Macaca fascicularis: one gene and its partners. The protein of the gene in region 1 purifies or fractionates together with the protein of each later gene. This does not show direct contact. Links are inferred from orthologs where the notes say so. Each region holds a gene or a part of one and is shown in the gene's direction. Other genes may lie near its edges. The genes, in order: STK26, SIKE1 and FGFR1OP2.

Region 1 (3,649 bases):
TTCTGTGACATATAAAGCTCTACACAATCTGGCCATTATCTGCCTCTCCAGTCTTATCTCCTACCACTCTCTTCTAGATTATTCGTCCACAGTGGCCTCGTGGTTGTTCCTCAAACATAGCAAGTACACCCTGGCCTCAGGACCTTTGCACCTGCCCTTCCCTCTGTCTGAAAAAATCTTCCTCCCACAATCAGGTCTGCTTAAACATCACTTACACAGAGAATTCTTCCCTGGCCATCTTATGTAGATCTGCAACACTCTTGCCCCCATCATTCATTATTCTCTTACTATGCTTGTTATTTTCTTCACAGAAGTTAACACCATCTGGCATCATATTATGTATTTATTTATTTATTTGTCTCTCTTATTAGAATGTAAGCCCCTTAAGAGCAGGGATTTTTGTCTGGCTTATTCACCACTGAAATCCTCCATTCTGAGAAGGGTACCTGACACAAAGTATGGAATTCATTATGTTTTAAATAAATGAATTATAGTAATAAAAATTTATTAACACCACATTTTCTTGAGAGACAAGTACTGTATGACCATTAGGTTCCACAGACTATTTTGTGGTAGTATATTGTAATGGAGTTTCAAGGTGATATACATATATATATTTGTTTTTCCTTTTATCTTAGGCTGACATTTGGTCGTTGGGAATTACTGCTATTGAACTAGCCAAAGGAGAGCCACCTAACTCCGATATGCATCCAATGAGAGTTCTGTTTCTTATTCCCAAAAACAATCCTCCAACTCTTGTTGGAGACTTTACTAAGTCTTTTAAGGAGTTTATTGATGCTTGCCTGAACAAAGATCCATCATTTGTGAGTATATATTGCTATCATTACTATTTATTTTCTATTATTAGATCTACTTATAGCAAAGGCAGCTTTTCCTGCAATAGGGAATACAGTGCATGTGAGAATTGTCTAAGATCCATCCAGGAACTTGGTTCTTCCTTCTGTACTGCTACTTCTATTGAGTTATTAACCAGATTCTTCATTCTTTTTCTCCTTACCCTTCATTTTTTTCTTGGTACCCAGCTTCCTCCTTATTCTATTCATTATTTCCTATTTCAGGGGGAAATAAATTTGAGAAGTAAAGTTATCTTTATATTATGTCATTATTAAAGTGCATGTATAAATACAGTGATTTTTATTCAGCTGTTTTCATTTTTCATGAAAAGTTATGTTTGGGTTTAACTGTTTTTTTTTTTTTTTGAGTCAGAGTCTTGCTCTGTTGCCCAGGTTGGAGTGCAGTGGCGTGATTTAGGCTCACTGCAACCTCCATCTCCCAGGTTCAAGCGATTCTCCTGCCTCAGCCTCCCAAGTAGCTGTGATTACGGGCACCTGCCACCATGCCTGGCTAAGTTTTGTATTTTTAGTAAAGATGGATTTCACAATGTTGGCCAGGCCAGTCTCGAGCTCCTGACCTCTAGCGATCCGCCCTCCTCAGCCTCCCAAAGTGCTGGGATTACAGGCATGGGCCACTGCGCCTGGCCAGGTTTAACTATTTTTATTTAGTGTTTAGAAACTTCACCGTGGAGTTGTATACTTTTCCTAGGCTAGTGAGCTCCATTCATTTACTTGGCAGATTCGATTACAGTTGTTTTGCTGTTGTTGAAATAAAGCTGCCTTGTGATTTTTCGAGACGAGAAATACACAAGAGCAGTCCAAACTTGATATAACTATTTTTAAGTTGATGATAAACATTGTGATATTAATAAAGTGAAGGCGGGACATTCTCCACAGCACCTGGTGTTTGCATTTAGATGCAATAGACATTGATGTCTGATGGAGAAGGGATTATAAGATATGTGTAAATAATAACAAAACTACAGCCTTGCAAGTTTTCATCAGTTTTTTTCAAATTTACAGTAAATGTGATTAAAGTATTTTAGAACATTACTTTGAAATGTTTTTAAATGTTTACTTTCTAAATACTGTCATGTGTCTCTCTGCTTTTGAGAAGGCCCTGCCTGCCAGTTTGCTGGTGGGTAAGCCACCTGCTGCCCATTGGGCTTTAACAAATTTAGACGCCAAAGTAGTAGATTCAATGCAGTTGCCTTGAGCCACTTCAATAATAGAATTAGCTATTTTCCTACAGCATTTTAGTTGTTCTTATATCTACAGACATACCTTTATACCTTTCAGCTTAATAATTCAGATGATTTTTTAACCATTCCTTGTAATCATAAGAGTTCAACAATTGTAATATGCAGCCTTGATCTTTTTATCCTTAGCGCCCTACAGCAAAAGAACTTCTGAAACACAAATTCATTGTAAAAAATTCAAAGAAGACTTCTTATCTGACTGAACTGATAGATCGTTTTAAGAGATGGAAGGCAGAAGGACACAGTGATGATGAATCTGATTCCGAGGGCTCTGATTCGTATGTACAAATTATTTAATTTTTATGTAGGTAGCCTATTTAAATATTGTATATCTTTTAGCTATGATCAGTGTGCTTGTTCTAGCATAAAATATAAACCATATTTTGAAATTTCACCTTAGAAACTGTAAAAATCTTTTTCAATCACAGTCTAGAATACAATGAAGTTGGAAACATGTTTTTCTTGGAAGTGAATAGCTCTAGTTTTAAATGGTCTTGGTCTAACCCCTAGTGGATACTTGAGTATATTACAAAATTTTGGAGCAAGATTCAATTAAAAGTGTTATATTAGTTTGCCCAAAGTAATAAGGAGCTGTGTTTTCTCATACTTTGATGGCAACCTGCAAAATCCCTCTAAAGAACTTTCCTTTCCCACCTCTTGGCCATGTACCAAATCCAGATCAGACTGATACATTTGAATATTCATTTATGTGTAATTTTTATTTCTTGAAAAAGTTGTAGTGTTTTATAACAGCAGCGTTTACATTAAAAATTCAGCCTCTAAGTCCGTCAATTAATTTAGACTAGGAAAGTCTGTATGCTATGCCAGAATTTAGTCCTCTACCAGCTGAACTGGCAAAAAGGCAACACCAAATTTATTTAGATACTACCCTGAGATTCTTCCATTTATGAGAAATTGCTCAATGTTGGAAAGGGATAAAAAATATCAGAATAATTTGTGCCCTATTCTGATGGGTGTTAGCCTTAGCTTCCCATAAGAGTCACTCATGGAACCTTTTTATTTTTATTTTTATTTTTTATTTTTTATTTTTATTTTTATTTTTTAAATTTATTTATTATTATTATACTTTAAGTTCTAGGGTACATGTGCATAACGTGCAGGTTTGTTACATATGTATACTTGTGCCATGTTGGTGTGCTGTACCCATCAACTCGTCAGCACCCATCAACTCGTCATTTACATCAGGTATAACTCCCAGTGCAATCCCTCCCCCCTCCCCCCTCCCCATGATAGGCCCCGGTGTGTGATGTTCCCCTTCCCGAGTCCAAGAAGGATGAGTTTGTGTCCTTTGTAGGGACATGGATGCACATGGAACCTTAAAGCAATCGCAAGCCACACCACTGGAGATCCTGATTCAATAGGTGGGGAGCAGTGAGGGACAGGTATTTACATTTGGTAGGAGGTCTCAATGAAGCACACATCGAGCTGAGAACCACTCCACTACCACTCTGTAGTAAAATGTAGTATTCACCTGCAGCTGAGATCAGATCTTTTTTGTACCAGGAGTTTTTAAAC
Region 2 (4,293 bases), on another chromosome or scaffold:
CTTCCCCATCTGGCCTAGAATGTTTAATTGGCTGTAACTCTTTTGACTCTAAGTCGGTTGGCCGCAGGAGTGACATGATGGACTCAGGACAGGTAGCACACCACCCTGGCATTGATATGGGACAAAATTAAAGTTTGGACACTGATACTGTCTCTGGGATACGTTGACAAAAAAAAAAAAAAAAAAGCGGAATGCTGTTTTGAAGGCATGAGTGTAGCCATTCCCCATCTGCGAGCGTTTGATTAGTAAAACTGCTTTCCTTTCATCATCAGTCACTTCTCATGATTTTGGCCTCTAGGCAACAAACAGCCAGACGTGAGCCAGTTGTAATAGCAGCATTATTTACAATAGCAAAAGGCGGAAGCAACCCAACTGTCCAGCGGATGAATGGATAAACAAAACGTGGCATATACATATTATTCAGCCTTAAAAAGGAAGAACATTCTAACATATGCTACTGTGTGGATGAAACTCGTGGACATTACGCTAAGTGAAACAAGGCAGTTATATGAATATAAATGCTGTATGATTTCACTCACGTCAGGTACCCAGAATAGTCAGATTTGTAGAGACAAAGTAGAATGGTGGTTGCCAGGGGCTGGGGATAAGGAAGAATGAGGAGTTATTGTTTAAAGAGTGCAGAACTTCAGTACTGCAAGACGAAGGAGTTCTAGAAATGGATGCTGATGGTGGCTGTATAACCATATGAATATACTACTGAACTGTACACTTAAAAATGGCTGAGATATTAAATTTTATGTGCATTTTGCCACAATTTTTTAAAACTTAAATGAAAGTAGGCCAGGCGCAGTGGTTCACACCAACACTTTGGGAGGCCGAGGCAGGCAGATCACTTGAGGTCAGGAGTTCAAAACCAGCCTGGCCAACATGTGAAACCCCGTTTCTACTAAAAATAGAAAAATTAGCCGGCATGGTGGTGCATGCCTGTAATCCCAGCTACTCGGGAGGCTGAGGCAGGAGAATCGCTTGAACCCTGGAGCCATAGGTTGCAGTGAGCCAAGATCGCGCCACTGCACTGCAGTCTGGGCGACAAGAGCAAGATACCAAGATACCGTCTCAAAAACGAAAAAAAATAAATAAAAATTAAATGAAAATAAAAAGAAAATAACTGTGACTGAATAACAATCCACATCAATGAAAACCAGTGGGGAAAAGAGACCTTCCTTCTGCCCAGCTCATCATGGCCTGACCACCAGGCTGTGGCAACTGGAAACCAAGAGCGTGGTAAGGGCAGGTCTGGGGCTCCGCGTCAGGCAGGACTGCAAGGAAGCCACAGGTAAAAGCGGGTGAACCCGCAAAATAGGGTGCCACTGCGCAGGCGCCTCTTGCGTCTGCCAAGACACCTTTTAAACGTGCCCGGAAGTGACGCCAGTAATGCTGAGACAGACTCCCAGAAGATCTGAGCGAGTCGCGTAGCTGAGCCCGGCAGGGGCTGGGGTTGTGCTGCTGCTATGAGCTGCACCATCGAGAAGATCCTGACAGACGCCAAGACGCTTCTGGAGAGGCTGCGGGAGCACGATGCGGCTGCCGAGTCGCTGGTGGATCAGTCGGCAGCGCTGCACCGGCGGGTAGCCGCTATGCGGGAGGCGGGGACAGCGCTTCCGGACCAGGTCAGGCAGAGGGTAGGAGTCCAGTGCTCTCGGATTCTGGGCACTGAAGGGTGGAGAGCGAGGTAAAGTGGGAACTCGGCCTGAAATTTATTCCCGGTCTCAGAGGGCGGCGGTGAGACCTTTTTCCTGGGTCGGAGCTGAGAATCCTGCCCTAGAGCCCTGACTTCTGCCACTTGAGTTGCATCTGCCGCTGTTCTCTTTAAGGCATGCTTAGACTGTCTCTATTTGTCCAGTATCAAGAGGATGCATCCGATATGAAGGACATGTCCAAATACAAACCTCACATTCTGCTGTCTCAAGAGAACACACAGATTAGAGACTTGCAACAGGAAAACAGAGGTTAGTCAGGCCTTTTCATATCTGGTAATAGTTTAAAGTTACTGCAAAATTGCCCTAAACATTCACAAGGGTGTGCATCTATTTCCAGGTCAGTACTTTTAGTAGGAGAGTCCTCCTGTGCTGGCTCAGTAACAGTAAAGTTTGTTAGATTACCCATTTCAAGGTCATCTGACTGATTTTGTAGCAGCTTACCAAAGAGGGGCTATGTAGAGTTAGAATTATTGCATGGTTTATTTTTAAGCATCTCCAGATGTGTAACAAAAGAGTTCATATCCTCATGGACTTAAAATTTAATGTTTAAATATTAATATAAACACTGAAGGTAAGATTTAAGGTTTTGTTTATGTTCTTGTTTGTGCAAGGTGAAGCAGCAGAATTTTACTCTAAGGGTATATATTCTTAGGCTTGATTAGTACATTATTAATGACTGTAGTATTAATAGTTGTTTACCAGAGGGGTTTCACATATATCATTCTACTGTATTCTCATATCTTCATTTTTATCTATCACAATGCTGTTAAGAAATAGGCTCAGAGAAGCTAAATGATTTACTTATGAGTATTAACCAAGCAAGTTACAGAACTGAACTCAAATCCATGTCTTCTGATGACATATCCGTTGTTGTTACTGCAAGATTTTGCTTCTCTGCCTAGAAAGTTACCTTTAACATAGACTTTAACTGCTCAGTTTTGTGGACTGAAACATTGATTTACAACCTTGGATTCATATTATCTCTATAGTATTGCAAAATTCTAACTGTTAAGACTTTGGATTTGGGAACTGTCTCTCAGACATCACTGCCAAGTTATTTTATTTTTTGACAGAGCTGTGGATTTCCTTGGAGGAACACCAGGATGCTTTGGAGCTCATCATGAGCAAGTACCGGAAACAGATGTTACAGTTAATGGTTGCTAAAAAAGCTGTGGATGCTGAACCAGTCCTGAAAGCTCACCAGTCTCACTCTGCAGTAAGAAACTTCGAATAAATTTGAAATGAACCAAATTGAAATCTTGAGATTGTTTTAGATTGTGTGCTTGTTTTTTTGCTTTTTGAGACAGGGTCTGGCTCTGTCGACCAGGCTGTGGTGTAATGGCACGATCTCAGCTCACTGCAACCTCTGCCTTCTGGGGTCAAGCCATCCTCTCACCTCTGCCTCCTGAGCAGCTGGGACTACAGGTGCACACCACCATGCCCTGTTAATTTTTGTGGGGTTTTTTATTATTATTATTTTTTTTTTTTTTTTGTAGAGATGAGGTTTCGCCATGTTGCCCAGGCTGGTCTGAAACTCCTGGGCTCAAGCGATCAACCCACGTTAGCCTTCCAAAGTGCTGGGATTATAGGCATGAGCCACTGTGACTGGCCATGTGTGCTTGTTTTTGAAGAAAAGTAAGCTTGTTTTCCTTTCATGTTTATCATATTTGTTGTTTATTTTGCCATGGCTTTGTAAAGATATGAATAGAAAGAAGGATAGTGGTTGCTCAGGTCCTTTTATTTGAATGGGACTAACGTTCCCCCTCCCTCACCAAGATCTCTTTTGAAAATGTTCATTAATTCTTAGCCCTCACACCAAACGTAATGTCAGTTAGTGTTGAAGGTGCCCAGTAAATACTTGGTTGGTTATTATACATTTCACTTAAGCTCCTTGGTTGTGAGGCACTTGAATTCACATTTTATTCCTAACATAGTACCTGACATATAGCAAGCAGTCAATAAACCTTTTATAAACTGAACCACATAGCATCATACTATGTTATTAGGGGATAGAAGTATGGTTTTTAAAAAAAACAAACATGGCATAGTTTCTATGCTTTGATTGCTTATTATCTAATTTGGGAGACTCGGTAATTGTTCTTATGTTTGTAGGTGCTTCATGGTTGTCATTGTACATTCGTGTGTACTGTGTCATTTAATTCTAGATGTATAAGTTGGAGCCTACTACTTCTGTGAGATGTAGTGAAATATAAGCTTCATCTTAAATTACATTGAATGCATTTTACTGACTTAAAAGTTTTAGGAAACAGATATTTTAAATATTTGAATGGCTTTCAACTGGAAGAGAAAAATAGATTTTATTTATTCTCATATGGAGGAAAAAACCTGAACTTTGAAAGAGACAGTTTACTCAGATAGATAAACTTTCTAAGTGATATGTCCAAAGATAGAATAAGGCACCTTGGAATGTAGTAAGCTTCCTGCCAGTGAAAGTATTCAAATTTAAGTTAAACAGCCACTTAGAGGTAGTATCCAACATCCAATGGGTAGTTAAACTACAACTGATTTTTTTTTCCGTTTCAAATATTTTTATTGGAGGGTGGACCTATTG
Region 3 (4,412 bases), on another chromosome or scaffold:
ATTTTTTCTTATTTTCTCAAGAAGATTCTTTTCCTCAAGAAGACTTGATAGGGAACATGAGTAATATGTTCAAAGAAATCTGTCCAACAAAGGACAGTTTAATGAGGTCATGACCAGAAAGCAACGGTATCAATACACCATATGAGGCTGTTACTCTACCAGGCACAGACAAAATTACTAGTGCATACATTTTTGGTTTTGCTTTTAAAATGAACTTAAAATTGTCAGAGGGAAACATTTTGACATTTAATTGTATTTGATTCCCTTACATATACGAAACATAGTAAGTGACAAATACTCTTGAAATACACCTTTATGGTCCTTGCTAATTGACGTTCGTCACATATAAACCCCAAGCCAGTATTTTTGGACTTCCCTCCTAGAAAAACGTTTGAAGATTTCTGGAAAAGGGGGACTGGGGGGCAGGGGTGCGGAATTAACAGGAAAGTGGAGTGACAGCAAAAGAAAAGGCCAAAACAAAGATAAACATCTCCTAAGATAACCGCACATCAGGTCTTCGCCTTAGGATGAGGACCCCAACTTCACACTCTCCCCTTAGCTTTTGAAACATCACAGTAATTTACAAGGTAGAGCAGAAAAACTTAGTTGTTACCATCACACTGGTGTGGAAGAGGAAATTTAAAACTTTTAAAACTTTTACTTATTAAAACAGAGCATATGGTACTCCCCTGCTTCGCTAACAAAATCTTATACTGAATAGACAATCCACATTCGAAAAGCACATGGCAAGCAAAGCCAAAGTGTTAATCAAAACGAACTGATTTCTTACGATCCAGCTATTTTCACCTCCTGCTTTCAAGACGCATCTCCCCTTCACGCAAAACTCTCTGAGAAACCTTCTAGACCCACTTTGCTGCAGGGTGGGGGGTGGAAAATACAAGGTGAGTGGATAAGAAGACCTCAGGATCGAGGTTCGCTTACTTTCGTGCCTGGTCCTGCAGTGAAAACGAAGAGGCTATGGACCACAGCCTCTCTGGAAAAGGCTGCTGGCTGGGTGGGGAGAGTCAGCGCACAGTCGGGAGTGTCTGGTGCCACAGACAGGGGACTATGCTTTCCCCGATCATCTCCTAGCACACCGGTCCTTCCCAGGCTTCCTGAGAGCAAGAGCGCGCGTGCGCGTGCACACTCACACACTCGGGCTCGCGCGTGCGCACAGCGATCTCCGACAGCCCCGCCAAGTCTCCCTTCCCCCTCGGAGGGCCAGGCTTCCCAGTCGCCGAACAGGAAGAGGGCGGGGCCAAAGAGGAAAAAAAAAGCCTCCACCCCTCGAGATTTTCCACCCACTAATTTTCCCAGTCACCCATTGGGAAGCAGGATCTGGGCGACCTGAAAGCCTCCCCAACAGCGAAGTACCAACCACGGCCCCCTGAGCGTACGGCCCACCCACCCGGTCTCCCCTTCTCTGTCTCTCCACCCTGGCCGGTTTCCCCTGGAAAAACTCGCGAGACTTTGCGAGAGGCCGAGCGAAGGCCTGGGAGGGGAGGAATAGGGAGGGACATACAAGGGCCCCGCCCCGCTTTCTCGCGCAAAGCGGAGAGTGGTCGGTTTTGCCCCACCGTAACGCGAGGAAGGAAATCTCGCGAGGCTGGAGTCCTCCGGGAGAGCCTGTCGGAGGCGGTCGGCGGAGGTGTCTACCCATCCGGTGATGGGGCTGAACGCCACTGTCTGTCCGGACACCCCTACGCTGCCTCCGTGCGGCTCTGCGTCTGCTTGCTGAGGAGGCGGATTAGGGGCGCAGAGTCTCTTCCTTTGAGTGCCTAGGTCCCGGTTAGTAGAGGCTTTGAGTCCGCATCGCCACAGCTGACGGCTGCGAGGGACTAAGAGCAGAGTAAGTGGACTAAATCCAGGGACGGGAGCAGGGGTGGGCGACTCGGAGGCGTCCTTCGCTGGGGCAGTCTTTCGCCCGGGCCGGTGCCTTGCGCCTCTTGAACCACCGGCGCCCAGCCCTGGCCGCTTCCAGCCGCAGGTTCCCAGCTCCTGGGAACCGGAGTTCCTCTCCGCACCCCTCCGGCTCCGAGCTCCTCATAATGGAGATGGGGTGCGGAAAGTTTAGTGAAAAGCCTTGGCCCTAACGCTTTGGACACACCTTCCGTATCTACTTTCATCCTGCCTTGGCCACCTGCGGGCTCACCACCGGACGGAGGACCCTTTCAGTCACCTGTTTGCAGCGTCTAATGGAGATAACTTGTTTCTTGAAACTGCTCTCCAAGGGGTATTACTCTTTTCTGGTTTACTTCTTGCCTTTCTTCTGTATCCCATCTCTGATAACGGTTCCAGTATCTGTCCTGCTATCCAAACTGGAAAACCAGGAATCATCCTTGGTTCATTTCCACTCACACTGCATTGTATTATTATTATTTTTTTCGCCAGAATTAGTGCGGTTGCCCTCCCGCCCCCCGCCCTCCACTGGTTTCTCTGCTATAATCCTTCCATAGAGTTATTCTAAAATACATATTTATCTCTGTCCTTTCCTTAAACTTTTTAGTAACTGTATTGCTGACAGAATCAAATCCTAATTGTTAAGCACATCATCATTCAGGATCTTTTACAGTCTGCCCCAATCCATTTTACCTTTTAGTCTTGCTTTAATATCCGACCATACCAGATTATACTGGCTGTTTCCCCAAACATGCCATGCACTTTGACAGCTCTGTACTTTTGTACGTGCAGTACCATCTGTCTAGGATATTTACTGTTCCTTTCTTTTACCGCCTATCAAAACCCAATTCATAAATCATTGTCTTCTCATACTCCCCCAGGTGACATTGATACCGCTGTGCTCCCTACGCATTTGAAACATTTCTTCTGCAGTATTTATTAGGTTGTATTATTTGTTTCTGTATCTGCCTCTCCTGCCAATTTGAACCTGGGTCTGTCTGGAATCAGGTCTTATTCATCTCTGAGAAAAAGTCCAATACTTGACACGTAGCAAGCATTATTTATATATACATATGTATATTTATTGAAATTGAATAGTTCTAAAGAATTCACCATAAGAGTTCTTCATCCTTTAAAATCATAGAATTTTGGAGCCAGAAGGAACTCTGTACATTGGCTTAAAGGCTCCTGACCTGTTTTGAATGTGAGAAACCCTGCACTTCTAATACACACGCAGTTGTACTTTTAGTAATTGTTGATTGAAATTACGTATAATGACAGAAAACTACTATGCTTTTAAATGATTTTGTATTTTATTTTTGTAGTATCTTTATATTTGAGAAATGGAGCAGAAATCTCCATTGACTACAGACAGTGCTTGGAGTATGTGCATTCAGGCAACTCTTCCACTGACTCCTTCGCCTGTAGGTTAGAAATAGCTGGTTTATATTAGGTTCCTTCTTGAATTGTCATAACTGTTTAAACATATGTATATGAAACTTATATTCAGCCATAATTCTAAGGGAACGTGTAATATTTAAAAAAATCCTCGTGTCATTACTTCCAAAATCTTTCTTCCAACTTTAAAAATTAATTTTCTTCAGAAAGTGTCTTTATACAGTTACAAACGTATATTCATTCCACTGTTTTAAAGAACAGTGAAAATTTTCTTTGCTTTCAGATACAGCGATATGTCTGTGTAAATGCTTGTTTTTATATGTAATTTACATGCATTCTTTCTTGCATTCTTAAGATTATAAGTTTATATGAAAACCATGACTATACCTTTTAGTTTTTTTATTTTCATATGGGTCAGTTCATATAATATTAGAGACATATACCTGAACATGAAAAAATTTAAACTAGATTGTTGACATTTAAAAACACATCTGTGGTGTATCAGTAGCCACAGTATTTCTGTGTAGATGTAGTGGTAGGAGTAGTGGATTGACCGATAAGGGAAACAAAGTTTCCAATCAGTAAACATTCATTGATCTTATAGTTAATGTGACGCCTAATTAAAATGGTTGCTAGGCTTTTATTAATTATCTAGAAAATACTTGAAATTTTTTTAGTCTTTAAAATTTCTCTTACATTTCATATATATTCCCATTTATTTTCTGAGGTTGGCTTGAAAAATATGACTTGAATTTCCTTAAATTTTTCTTAACCAAAATCTGAAAGTAAACAGCTGGCAATTGCTGTCTTGGGTGGGTGGTGGTTTCTCTTTTATCAGCAGCAGAATGTTCTGAGCCTTCTGCCAGGAGTCTGACTGCAAAAGTCTTTGGGTGGTAAAGTGGGCGAGAATGTGACTAATGCAGAAAAGAAAAAAATAATTTTTTTAACTTGCTAAAAAAAAAAAAAAAAAGATTCACCTGTAATTTGGACCTGCCTAGAGAAAATAATGTAAGTAAGTGTATTATGGCCAGTTAAGATAGGCACTACAAAAATAGGTCAAAAAGTTTAGAATATTCCTTTTTTACTGAAGTCTGTTTTTTTTGTTTTTTTTTTTT

The links.
Region 2: the proteins of STK26 (region 1) and SIKE1 purify together in Homo sapiens (affinity purification with mass spectrometry; 4 studies listed by BioGRID and IntAct, with this or other methods). This does not show direct contact. The link is inferred for Macaca fascicularis from reciprocal best matches to the Homo sapiens genes STK26 and SIKE1.
Region 3: the proteins of STK26 (region 1) and FGFR1OP2 purify together in Homo sapiens (affinity purification with mass spectrometry; 4 studies listed by BioGRID and IntAct, with this or other methods). This does not show direct contact. The link is inferred for Macaca fascicularis from reciprocal best matches to the Homo sapiens genes STK26 and FGFR1OP2.

What each region holds. Positions count from the first base shown.
Region 1 is NC_088395.1:138,326,764-138,330,412, forward strand, and holds part of STK26 (serine/threonine-protein kinase 26), read left to right. Parts: intron 1-638; coding exon 639-824; intron 825-2,242; coding exon 2,243-2,391; intron 2,392-3,649. UniProt on the Homo sapiens protein: Serine/threonine-protein kinase that acts as a mediator of cell growth. Modulates apoptosis. In association with STK24 negatively regulates Golgi reorientation in polarized cell migration upon RHO activation.
Region 2 is NC_088375.1:119,590,504-119,594,796, forward strand, and holds the start of SIKE1 (suppressor of IKBKE 1), read left to right. Parts: upstream 1-1,400; 5' UTR 1,401-1,472; coding exon 1,473-1,643; exon of another isoform or gene 1,644-1,693; intron 1,694-1,864; coding exon 1,865-1,970; intron 1,971-2,794; coding exon 2,795-2,937; intron 2,938-4,293.
Region 3 is NC_088385.1:29,680,924-29,685,335, forward strand, and holds the start of FGFR1OP2 (FGFR1 oncogene partner 2), read left to right. Parts: upstream 1-1,609; 5' UTR 1,610-1,849; intron 1,850-4,412. UniProt on the Homo sapiens protein: May be involved in wound healing pathway.